3 linked regions of the Kluyveromyces lactis genome follow. The protein of the gene in region 3 binds, or shares a complex with, the protein of the main gene of each other region. Links are inferred from orthologs where the notes say so. Each region holds a gene or a part of one and is shown on either strand. Other genes may lie near its edges.

Region 1 (3,778 bases), about 310 kb from region 3:
GAATTGAAGAGCACTGTCAGGTAAGTTCATCACGTAGTGATCGAAGAACTGGTTTTTGATTGGGATCTTGGTTTCAGGAGTACGTTTAGTTTCTCCCGTGACTTTATCCTTGTACTTCTTACCTCCTGGCACCGTGATGACTCCCTGTACCCTTTCGATGAATTGTTGTAGTAGCTTGGGACTATCTCTGATGAATTCGCGGCCATCGAGGTTCAATGGTTCAACGAAGTTACCCACCTTATTGTCGATGATATTTTGCTGCATGTACTTGTAAGATTCTGGGTTCAAATCGTTACTTAGAACGATGACCTTCTTCTTTCCTGCTGGAACTGAGAATGGCCCCACCCCAGCAAACACATCACCAACTATTTGGCCCGGTTTGAATAGACTCACTAACCTTGCATGTTCTGTATGTAGTCTTGAGTTCCAGTACACTTTACTGAAATCGAAAGTGAATGAACAATCAGATTCCCTTTGAGTCACTAGCAGGTTCGGTTCACCCGCTAGGACGTTCATTTCGAAAGTTCTGAATTTGGTAGCAATGGAATCCACTTTATCGACCACGGTCTTGATCGTCGAATTCTTGTCCAAGATGACTTGTCCAATTATTTCACCAAACGGTTTGAACTCTTTCCTTAAATTCAAATGAGCTACGTGTCCCACAATAGTGAACCCAGTAGGAATCTCAGCAAGGTACTCCTCTGGTAAAATTGCATTTAGAATCTCTTCCACTTTCCAGAAGTCATAATCTAGCACATACTCATGGTTTCTCAACTCATACTCTTGCTCATCAAGAAATTCTAGTGCATTGGAGGTCAACTTCCCTCTCGCCTGCGAAACATCTTGTATACTGTCTTTTAGTATGATACCTTTGGTTATATGGTTGTCATTGGCCAGGGATTTGCTTTTCTTCTGTACTGGCTCGACATCGTTCTTATCAGTATCTTCTTTTGGTGTTTCGCCAAGTCTTATAACGAATGGAATTCTTGGTGTCCTTAATATATCGTCCTTGAACTTCTTGGTGAAGACAGAAATATTCTTTGGATTCTTCAATAGCAATACAACAACAGGAAGCTTCTTTACGAATAATGATTTATCTAATTGTTTCATGCCACGATGCACTGGTGGTTCATATTTGAACGTAGTTTCAATAGCTCTACTCATTGTTCTTCGAAGCACTAGGCCAAACCTCATAAAACTAGTCCTCCTCTATCCTTGAAAAATGGAGCAAAATAGTGTGCTATCACTTCACCAAATAAAACGCTGCCTGACGGTCGATCTTTGCTGCAACATTTTTACATCTTTTACAACGCTCATCTCATCTCATCTCATCGCTCTCTTATTTAATTTGGAAAATTTTCAGTTAACTAACACCAAAAGTAACAAAGGTACAGCGAGGAAGTCAGCACATCGAACGCCTTCTGCAGTCCCTGACATCGTTATATCATTACTTGGAACAATGAGTGATGTTATTAGTGTTATCAATAGGAACGAATTTTGGTCTAATGGCCGTTTAGAACAGGATGAATATGAATCAGATTCCAGCTCAGGTTCAGAGCAAGAACATGACATTGAGATGAGCGGTGCTCACGATTCCAATGGTGGAATAGACCATCAGGATGGGTCTATTGTCACACCTGGTGAATTAATAACCGATGATCCTATATGGATGAAGGGTCATGGTACTTATTTCTTGGAAAACAAGACATACAGTTCTGTGGTTGGCACAGTATCGAGAGTGAATAGATTGCTATCCGTTTTACCATTAAAATCTCGTTATATTCCCGAAACAGGTGACCACATCGTGGGTAGAATCACTGATGTTGGTAATAGAAGGTGGAAAGTGGATATTGGAGCCAAACAGTATGCGGTTTTGATGTTGGGTTCTGTTAATTTACCAGGTGGTGTATTGAGACGTAAGTCAGAGACAGATGAGTTGCAAATGAGAAACTTCTTGAAAGAAGGTGATCTACTAAACGCTGAAGTCCAATCGTTGTTCCAAGACGGTTCAGCTTCATTACATACCAGATCGTTGAAATATGGGAAACTAAGGAATGGTACGTTTGTTCAAGTCCCAAGTTCCCTAATAGTGAGATCTAAAAATCATACACATAATCTTCCAGGGAATGTCACCATTATCTTGGGTGTAAATGGGTTCGTATGGATAAGGAAATCCTCCAAGATGGATCTTTCCGGTAAGACCACTACTACAGGTTCAGGACAATCTGACCATTTACCAGGATCCAACAATGCAATGTCGGTTTCCATTACAAGATTGGAAGAAGAGAGTTCTTGGGAAATATATTCGGATAAAAATGATACTGTTACTGTAAGCGTTAGGCAAACAATCACAAGATATGCAAACGTAATTAAGGCGTTAGCACATTGCGAACTCGGTATCACTGAGCCAAGAATAATATCCGCATATGAGGCTTCAATGGCTTATGGTAACTTGGGACAGTTAATTGAATCGGAGACGATGGAGTCCTTAGGTCAAGACGTCATCAACTCAGAGAAGATGAGGGGAGCAGCATAGGTTGTAATCGGTAATATTAATATTTACATGAAGTAGTATTTTATAAATAAAGTGCATAATATTTACAAATAATAAAATCTTTTCGATAAGAGTACCATCATTTGGATGTCTCAGATGTTGGTTTATTATGGGTAGCTTGTAGCGAGTCTTGCTTCTTTCCATCGTTTGTGAAAGATTCAATTCTGCTCTTAACACTAGCACCAAGATACTTTTCAAAGAAGCCAATTTCTTCTTTCTTCTTACCGTCACCTTTACGCTTGGCAACAATACACCATGTCGTACCGAAATGTGTTCTTCTTTCTTCGACGACATCCAATCCAGAATCGTCAAGGATTTCTCCGATATCCAAGTTCCATCTACAACCCCATGTCTTTAAACGTTTCTCAGCTCTATCGTCAAGAATTTTGTTGATTGTATCGTATGAACCTCTTCCGTGTTCCAAGAGAATGATTCTACCGCCAGGTTTCAACAATTCAGCAAAATTCTTCAAAGATTTTACAGGATCGTGATGTGAACAAAGACCAAACGCTTCAACAATAGTATCATACTTAACAGGTGTCTCCTTCGAGTTCAAGTCGATCAAATCTTCCGCTTTCCCTACAACAAATGCACATTTCTTGAAATTGGGTAGTGCTTCTCTGAATTTTTTATTTGTGATTTCCATCATCTTTTCCGATGCATCCAAGAATGTGATTGAGTTGATCTTCGTTGGGTCTAAATATTTGATATTCCTACCAGTACCACAAGCGACTTCGAGAACATCTCCTTTACAATGTTTCATGAGCCACTTACGTCTTTTACCCATTCTGATCATCATTTCTTCAAAACTCACACCCTCATCGTACTCTTCTGCCTTCATTTCATAGAAATCAGTGGTATCCCTAGCAGGTAGAATTTTCTCGTTAATCTTGTTTTGATCGTTGTTTTCCAAGGTAATCTTATCCAAATTCTCAGTCCCATCTTTCTCTATAATCTTTTGGTATTGTTTCAATTTCTCCACATCTCTTGTTCTTAACGTATTTTTTAGTTCCTTATAGCGCAACAACTCATATTCATTTGCTACTCCCATATCAATCTTTGCACTAATATCTTCTAACTCCTTGTCCTTCTTATAAAGCTTCTTGGTATAGTTTAACCCATATAGAATGAACACCACATATGCGGCAAGAATGTATTTCGTTAAAGCTTTCGAAAACTTCTCGGACCTTGCAATGGCCCCGTACCTAATAATCCAGTTGTCAG
Region 2 (3,092 bases), on a different chromosome or scaffold from region 3:
AAATAATTGCAGTGGATGATTTATACCTGTACTCGTGGTAAACAGCAGGGAATTTGGTGAAATGAACTGTTCTCTTAGAGTTCATCACTTGCATTCTGCGACGTAAAGTGTCAATGGGGAACACCATCGTCTTGGATACAAACCCTGCGATGATCCCTGAACTAGCACTTACAGGTCGCGACCAGAATTCTTTCTCGTGGTTTTCACAGACTATATTCACGGTCTCATATGTGAGAAACATGATAGCCGTGGATAAAGTAACCGTTGTCATCGCAGTGGATATTCCAGTGAAAAAACCTCGTACACCTTCATTGAGCCACATTTGTCGGCACTCCTCTGCGACACTGGTCCGATGGCTCGTTCTGTTTGCTATAAGTCTTGTCCGAAGCAAATCTAGCGGGTAAGATACCACTGAACTAGTCATTCCTGCCAACGCTCCGACCGTTAGCGTTTGTCCCTGCTGTGAAAACCGAGGGAACTTCGCAGACCAAACGTTGTTGAACCACGAGTAAGATCCGAATTGTACTGCACCGTAAACAACGTACATCGCCGTCGCCGGGATGTTTCCTTTCCATAACGCTCGAAGTCCTTCTTCTTTCATTATAGTTCTCACAGTAGATGCAATTCCCTTATATTTGTCCTCTTGTACCGGTTGTAACTGATATCGTATTTTTACAGTATCCATTGGTGCAGTTGCCATCCTAGCAAATACCCCAGAAACAGAACCAGCAATCACTGAATTGTACCATGATACCGTTTCACCTTTCCTGAGATGGTCTTTCCTTATGCCAGTGTTCATTCTCTCTTCGTCATTAAATAAATCCCTCTCTCTTGATGGATTGAAGATTCACTGAATGCTGGTCTCTCGCTCCCTTCTCAGAACTTAAATGAAGCCAGACCTACACACAATCTCCTTATTTATAAATTACCACATACATGCCCTGCTAAAAGGGTCTCTGGCACATCAATTGCATTGCATCTCCAACCTCTTAGTTTCATATCTATTCATTGCGTATCCTAAAAGTGAAAAATTTCTGAATTTGAAGCTCATCTCATCTCATCCTGACATAACATTCAAAAGATGGGGAAAGAGGGACTGTAGTGGCTCATTACCGTCTATACCGACTGCGTATTGATTGTTATATTGTACCTATAGTAATTTTCTAGCCAAGATGGAGACTACGACGCATGTTTTGGGCCATGTTGATGGCTCTTCTGTTGTTTCAAACAGCGGAACTAAAGTTATCTGTTCTGTTTCGGGACCCATGGAACCTAAGTCTAGGCAAGAGTTGCCCACACAACTTGCATTAGAGATCATCGTGAAGCCTGCTGAAGGCGTACAGAGTACGAGGGAAAAGTTAATGGAAGATCAGATCCGTTCTGTGTTGACCCCAGTGCTTGCGAGATACTTGCATCCACGTCAATTTGTGCAGATATGTCTCCAAGTATTAGAAGCGGGAGAAAGCAGGGATTATACTGTGAAAGAAGTCAGTGTATGTGTTAACGCAGCGGTGCTCGCATTGGTGGATGCTGGTGTACCGTTACTCAGTATGTGTTCTGGTACTTGTATTGGTATTACCACTGAAGGGAAGCAGCTGGTGGTGAACCCAACAGAATCGCAGCTAGCTAAATGTGAATCGGTCCACGTATACTGTCTAGAGCTGGGCACGAATGAGAACGGGGATATAGATGTCAGGAACCTGCTTCTTCTTGATAGTTTAGGCAGCTTTGACGAGTCACAGTTGTTTAAAGTGTTAGAAACAGGTGAGAAAGAGTGTATACGGTTATACACAGAGTTGAGATCAGTGATCAAGGATAAAGTCGCCAAAGATTTCGTCTGGAGACAGTAGTGGGTATACCTGCACCCATGGTTCTTTATAAATTAACTTTATAATTAACGTTATCATCTTTATATACAATTTATATATATTTGCATTTATATAATTCGCATTAGCAGCGGCAGAGAGAGTAATCTAATCTATTGGACAAATAACAAAACAATTCTACAACTTCAATGCTTCCAAGTTAGCGATGGTAGCTTCCAAGGTTTCGATTTCAGCGGCAGCGTGCTCTGATCTTTCTTTGTTGAATTGCTTCACTTGGTCATTGGCCTTTTGTTCATAATCGCTGCTGTTGACAATCTTATCAATGGCAGATTTAGACTTCAAAGTCTTGTCTAGCTTCTTTTGGACCTTGGAGATTTCTGCATCGATATCGACGTGACCCTTCACAAGCACATGCACGTTAACTTCTGGGTTGACAGATTGTAGCACACAACCTTGTGGGATATCAGCAGCAGATTTCACAACGGAAACTTCATCGATTGCCTTAATCAAAGAGACGATAGAATCTTTTTGAGATTGGACAGTGGAGTAGTATGATTCATTAGCAGATTCAACAAACACCTTACCGTTTTTCAAGATGTTATATTGTGCCAACAAGGAACGAGCATCCTTTGTGACGTTTAAGATTAGCTCGTATTCCTTAGCAGCGCTTGGATTGTGGAATTCTTCCTTGAAAGTTGGGTATGAGCTCTTAACGATAGTTGGAGAAGTTTCGCTGGCGTATCTTGGTAGATGTTGCCACATTTCTTCAGAGATGAAAGGCATGAATGGATGGATCATTTTCAATGCATTGTCGATCAAGATATATAAGGTATCCTTAGCAGACTTTTGTTGAACTTCTGTACCTTCTTGAATCAAGTACTTGGAGTTCTCAATGTAAACATCACAGACCAAATACCAGAATTCATAGATGGCTGAGGTGGAGTTCAAGAAGTCACGCTTTTCAAATGCTTCGTTGACATTCTTGGCAGTTTCAGTCAATTCGTGCAAGATCCATTTTTCAACTAAGGATTCATTGCCAGAAAGAGCTTCAGAAGCTGGTGGTTTATAGTCATCTCCCAATCTCAACAAAGCAAACTTGGTAGCTTGGTAGATCTTGTTACAGAACTTTCTGTAACCTTCAACACGGAGAATATCCAAGTTAATGTCACGACCACCAGTGGTGTATGCACAAAGAGCAAATCTCAAAGCATCAGTACCACATTCTGGGATACCGTGTGGGTAAGATTCCTTTTGACCATTCTTTGC
Region 3 (5,763 bases):
CCGTAGTTACTATTACACATCACCATTTGTCTTTTGTCCATCTCTTCTCTAGCATCGCAATGAACTCTCTCTCATATAGAATCTGAATCACATCTTCACTCTGTAACGCCTATGATGAAATTCACCATGCCCGGGTAATATATCCGAAATTGCACCAACCCCTGATTGTGCGTAGTGTATGGGTGGAAGCCAAAACAGCACAATTTTTCTGTTTTATGGGATGAAAAGAATTACATAAGCGGCCCCTAATTCTCGTTGTTTTTGTGTTCCTCGTGAGTTTCTCAACTCTTTGCTGAAAGGGACAAAGTTCAGTTCCCAGAGAAGGACTTAGGCGGGGAAATCCAGCCCAGGAGAAAGGAAAGCAGAAAAGCTGATGTGATTTTTAACAAGTAGTGTTGCTTTGGAGCTGGAAAAAGTCAGCATAGTAACGTGCGCATCATACACTCTGATTTGCAATGATGGTGCCTCGGAGGGGTGGGTGTCATATGTGGGGCGTGATATCTTACCGTTGGGTATAAATAGTAAGAGAATAAACTCTGGCTTAAATTATTGTTATAAAAGGCTAGCTTGAATATATAGTTAAGGATACCGATCTTAATTCATCTCGTACTTTCCAACCGAAACAAGACTAAAAAGTGAAAAAACATACATAGCTAAGGATAGACTTAACATAGAAATATGGCACATTCTTCTGGTATTCGTAGACCAATTCAGATTCAAGAGTTCGTGATTGCTATTAGAGAATCGTCTGAGCATGAATTACAAGAGATCAGAAAAGAGATCAATAATGCAGTGAAGCATTTACAAAGATCTAACAGAAGGTTAGAAGCGTACGTTGCCAAGCTTAAGGGTGAAGAGGTATTGAACAGACAAGAATTGGACGCGGAAGGGAATTTTTCCGATGATGATATTGATGAGAAGGATTTGCAAGTATTCCAAGACTCATTAGCGGAAAATGGAAAAGTATTGGATAATTATAACGAAAGGCTACAAGCTTTGGACCTAGAAGAACAGCACAGGGCTAGCACTGTATCTTCCGGTGACATCCAATCGGCGTCCACAAAATTAAAAAGATCTTTGCAATCTCAAGGCCGGAGAACCGTTGGCGTGGATTCAGATAATACTGCTGATGCCACTGGTTCCAATAGCATTAACTTATGAACCCATTCCAAACAAAATATATATAATGTACTCATATATTGAAGTATAGTAAAAAAAAAATGAATGAAAGCAAAAATGCATGTTTAAAAGTGTGGGCTGGTATGACCTCGGAAAACTGTATACTTTCAGAGATGAATAAACGCACCCGTTCTGGTTTCTTTCTCTTAGTTTCGGGCTGGTAATCTGCTGGGAAAAACCCTGGAATGAATCTGCTACAGACCATTCTTAACATTTAGCTTTTTCTGTTTCCAGCAGGCTGGGCCGTTCTCTGTGGCATTCATTTTCTTCCATCTGTAAACGTCGATGCGAAAAAAGTCTATCAGGTTCACGTTAACATTTCATTTCATTTTGATATGATCGACATATATACTGTGCCATGGCATGAAAATGTTAAGAACACTTTTGGAGAAAAACATACAGAGAGTCGTTTTGACAGCAATTATTCGGTTGGAAAAGTGGGAACTGCCTGGGTTAATGATTGGTCTCCATCTATAAAGCATCAGGTTCAATTCAAATCGAAACAATTCTTTTTTTCCCTTTAAGGTTGTTTCTCAGTGCTTCATACGTGTTGTCAATATCTTTTTGTGTTCTTATTCGGCCAGACAAAATTTTTTTTTTGGGTCTAATCCACAGCTTTCGCTTCAGTAATTAGATTGTGGTCTTTTCGTTTGTTATTATACCCAGTTCATTTCGTTCCAGCTAGTAATTTTTTTGTTCTTTTTGTTTAAATGGTGATATCGTTGATATATGTCCTTTTACTGATATGTTCAGTTGTCTCGGAGACCCTTAAACTGCCGATAAACCCAAATCGATTAGAATTCGATTTGTGGCCATATAAAAAATGGGAAGTTGACGGCTCGAGTGACGCGTCTAGTTATCAAACTTGTTTCGAAATGAATACGAATATTAAGGCCAAGGATTTACAATTCCTCATTGAAATTGAAGAATTTACTAAATGGAAAGTTAATGTGGATAGGTTTGGTCCAACTACGAGTTCAAAGGGAAAACAGGTTGTCAACATGGATATTTATGACGAAGACCAAAATTTGGTACAGTCAAGACATGGTTTAGAGAATGGGGAAACTGTGCTTTACGTGAGCGTATACGAACATCAGAATTTCCAAATATGCCTTATCAACTTTTCATTAGACTCCTCATGGAATGCCATAGATAGTGTGAAGCAAGTAGCAATTAGCATCACGTCTAATGATCTGATTCAGAAACAGAAGTGGGATTTGATTACTGATGATGATCTCAATTTGTTATCCCAGGGTAGAGATGACCTGTTTTCGTTGGTCAGTGCGGATTCTGGCCAGGAATTGCATGCTTTAGATGTCGATCATAGAAATCTCAACGAATCAACGTTCTCTTATCTACTGGCAAAAGTCACAATATTATTCTGCATCATTGGAGTATGTCATTTGCTGGTATTTCCAATCTTACTGTATAGAATCGTTAGCAAAGGGCAACCGACCAAGAACAAAAATAAAATCAAAAGATAAGGAATAATTATGTCCATAAAACAGTTGATGTATTTGTATATATATTAAACATCAGCACCCTGTATCAGTACAACTTCAATATCAGTCAGTCAGCATTCATCGTATGTTAGTACTTCGAACCGTGACTGACACCTGACAGAACATCTCACTAATGGCCAATTATATCCGGGTAACACCGAATATTAATGTGCATTAGCGAAAAGAAGAAATGAAAAATCTGAACTAATTTCAGTATTGACTTATATGAGCTTGAGATGAGATGCAATGAGATGATGAGAAAAGGCTTATTTCCCTTCTATCAACAGCAATAGAAACATCTGAGTTTAAAGCGAGTTATCTTCTCACGAAGCAGACCCATCTCGTTAAAAAAAAAATCAAATAATATAAGAAGATAATGGGACTTTCGTTAACTGAAAAATCGTTCCTATACGATTCTCTAACATTAGATCCCCCATTAAGACCGGATGGAAGAGGTCCACATCAATTTAGACCATTGGAAGTATCTACTGATTTCCTTCCCAATTCTAATGGATCCAGCCGTGTGATATTAAGCGGAGGAAGCGAGTGTATAGTGAGTGTAAAAACTAAAGTCGTGGACCATACGGTAGAACAAGAATTGCTTGTTGCTGATGTCGACATCCAAGGCCACAGAGATGACTCTCCATTGGTTACCAGCATGTCTTCACTATTATCCAAATTGCTCAAACAAACTATTGATCAGAAAAAGCTAATGCTCACGAAAAGGTACAGTTTCAAACTTTACATTGACGTTTTGGTGCTTGCCTCCAAATCATACCCGATCTCAATGATATCTTTCGCCATTTTCAGCGCTTTGAAAAACACATGGCTACCGAAACTAATATCGAACGACGATGACTTAGAAGTGGAGGAGCTACCCACATTCCATGATTACGATATGGTTAAGCTAGAGGCAGATGCTCCTTTATTGTTTACGTTCGCAATTGTAGGAGACGGTGTTTTTGTGGATCCAACTTTTGAAGAGAGCATAGTATCGAACAATGGCCTTCTAATTACGTGGTACAAAGATAAGGTTACTTCTCCGATAAGATCTGTTGGCTTGAATAACGATAATATCAAAGGGTTCAGTCAGCATCATTTAGAACAAGCGTTCAAGTTAATTCGTCAATACGCACCACATATTGAAAAAGCTTTGGATGCTTCAGATTAAGGAACATTTAAATAGTAAATAGGTACTTTTCAGGGTGTTTATTATAAATGCATATCTATAAATGCTGGATCGAGTACGAATGAACGATAACAGCTGTTGCAGTTTGGATATTCATGGATCTTATTACCCCAGATTGTTTGATTTCTAAGCATAAATCCAACTCCTTTAACAAATGCCCTGGAATACCATGAGCTTCTGTTCCTAGTAAAATGACAGATTTTGATGGAAATTTAAATTCAGAATTCAGTTGAATGGAAGAATCAGTCTGCTCCAATCCAATTAACGTATATCCTTCCAACTTCTTTGCATTCATGTAAGATATTATACCATCGACAGGAACTTCTTCAATAGGCATCCAGCGGTCCGCTGTAACCGCAACATTTTTGAATTGAGGATGCTGTTTGACTCTAATATCATGAATTGTCATAGTACCGACACCCAACACGTCACAGAGTCTACAAATACCTCCGAGATTGGGTGCTTTATCCACTAATGAAGCTACGACAATTAATTCAGATCGTGCAACAGACTCAATGGATTTTTGATTATCGAAATCCAAGACAGCTTCCCAAGCACCACTCTTCGTTTGTAGGGGCGAGTTTTTTGCTAACTCAGTTGAATTTACTAGATTACTACTTCTTTTGGTCAACCATAGTTCACTCTCTTCCGATCCTATTTCAAATTCACCGTCATCGATGTTAATGGCTTTGAATATCTTACTATTTATATATGGAACTTTATGATCCATAATTTTCAATAATACGCCGCCAAATATACTTGTTAACTTAAGGTCGTTATTGATGCTCCAAGTGTTTGCGTCACCGGCTCTGAATTGACCTTGTACTTGGATCTTCTTAGCATCGCTGTATAGCTTAGAAATAATGGATCGCAAAATATTATCTTTGATGTCATCTTCAAAGGTTGGCCAAAACAAAAGAATGAGGGAATTAGAGAAATGTCTAATTAATGGTTTGTTTGAGGAGCAATTAGTTATCAGTTGTGCGACAAATCTTTCCATTGGCCTGAAAAAATGACCTGTCTCCTTCGCTGCCTTCAAAGATAAGAATAACAAACGTTCAACACTTGCTTGTAAAACAGGACGAGAGGTGTCTTCTAAAAGTTTGAACAGAAAGTCCTCATTTGGATTTTTATGATTATCTGTCGCTGTAACCCATAGGTCATATGCAATGAACCATTCTGAATAAACTCTTACTAACGGAGACGATTCTTCCACAAGAGAAGGAATGATATAATCAGAACACAAACCTGTTAGAACATCTTTATCGACTGATTTGATCGATAGAAGGCACAGTTGCCATTTTTGTAATCGTTGAATTTCTTCTGGTCCATCAGTTTTTTTCTTCGCTTTTAACATGTTAGGGTCTTCTTGGAGCATCACCTGCAAAAATTGACGTCTAAACTCCTTGCTTGAATATAAAAGAGCTTTAATTATGCGTGATTTCGTAACCACTTCTGTTGCACCATAAACAAACTTGTATAATCCTCCGTCAATATATAAACCAAGCTTGGAATCAAATAGCTTGGCAATTGCAGGTTTTAAATTGTAGATGTTGAGATTCATACTTTCATGAGTGAAAACATCAGATAGCAACCTAGCAAAGTCCGAATATTGCTGGTTTGGTAGTGAACTTCCATACACTTCCATAAACCCTAAGATTTGCTGGCTGAGAACTGGTTTCAATGTTCTCCTCGAAAAAGATTGATCTAAAATGGCAGTTGCGTAATGAAGCATGATCTTGAAAATAGCCTGATCATTGAGGGCAGATAAGAATGTCGTATAATGGAAGATGCCTCTTATGAGAGCCAAATGCAATGGTTGTTGATTGAGTACCAACCTCTCTTCTATTAAAGAATCCCATATTCTGCACTGTAAACCCATTGCACTATTCA

The links. The genes of interacting proteins can lie anywhere in the genome.
Region 1: the proteins of RRP42 (region 3) and RRP4 are in contact, whole or in part, in a cryo-EM structure (PDB 5G06), measured with the Saccharomyces cerevisiae proteins. The link is inferred for Kluyveromyces lactis from reciprocal best matches to the Saccharomyces cerevisiae genes RRP42 and RRP4. Residues at the interface, in NP_010172.1 of Saccharomyces cerevisiae: Met1, Ser2, Leu3, Ser4, Val5, Ala6, Glu7, Ser9, Tyr10, Leu11, Asp13, Ser14, Ser17, Pro19, Ile21, Arg22, Pro23, Asp24, Gly25, Arg26, Leu27, His29, Gln30, Phe31, Arg32, Pro33, Ile34, Glu35, Ile36, Phe37; in NP_011936.1 of Saccharomyces cerevisiae: Ser2, Val4, Ile5, Thr6, Ile7, Thr8, Lys9, Arg10, Asn11, Gly12, Ala13, Phe14, Gln15, Asn16, Arg115, Lys164, Glu165, Gly166, Asp167, Leu168, Leu194, Arg195, Asn196, Gly197, Met198, Phe199, Trp232, Asp283, Asn285, Ile289.
Region 2: RRP42 (region 3) and RRP46 share a complex: the UniProt entries of both Saccharomyces cerevisiae proteins name them as parts of the RNA exosome complex. The link is inferred for Kluyveromyces lactis from reciprocal best matches to the Saccharomyces cerevisiae genes RRP42 and RRP46.

The regions. Positions count from the first base shown.
Region 1 is NC_006041.1:1,129,143-1,132,920, reverse strand, and holds RRP4 (exosome non-catalytic core subunit RRP4), read left to right. Parts: upstream 1-1,222; coding exon 1,223-2,536; downstream 2,537-3,778. Other genes in the region: TRM5 (tRNA (guanine) methyltransferase), read right to left, coding at 1-1,194; OMS1 (putative RNA methyltransferase), read right to left, coding at 2,634-3,778. UniProt on the Saccharomyces cerevisiae protein: Non-catalytic component of the RNA exosome complex which has 3'->5' exoribonuclease activity and participates in a multitude of cellular RNA processing and degradation events.
Region 2 is NC_006040.1:1,265,510-1,268,601, reverse strand, and holds RRP46 (exosome non-catalytic core subunit RRP46), read left to right. Parts: upstream 1-1,172; coding exon 1,173-1,850; downstream 1,851-3,092. Other genes in the region: thiamine transporter TPC1, read right to left, coding at 1-799; VAS1 (valine--tRNA ligase), read right to left, coding at 2,004-3,092. UniProt on the Saccharomyces cerevisiae protein: Non-catalytic component of the RNA exosome complex which has 3'->5' exoribonuclease activity and participates in a multitude of cellular RNA processing and degradation events.
Region 3 is NC_006041.1:822,433-828,195, reverse strand, and holds RRP42 (exosome non-catalytic core subunit RRP42), read left to right. Parts: upstream 1-3,057; coding exon 3,058-3,852; downstream 3,853-5,763. Other genes in the region: TMA17 (Tma17p), read left to right, coding at 679-1,161; RRT6 (Rrt6p), read left to right, coding at 1,890-2,663; TRM3 (tRNA (guanosine(18)-2'-O)-methyltransferase), read right to left, coding at 3,908-5,763. UniProt on the Saccharomyces cerevisiae protein: Non-catalytic component of the RNA exosome complex which has 3'->5' exoribonuclease activity and participates in a multitude of cellular RNA processing and degradation events.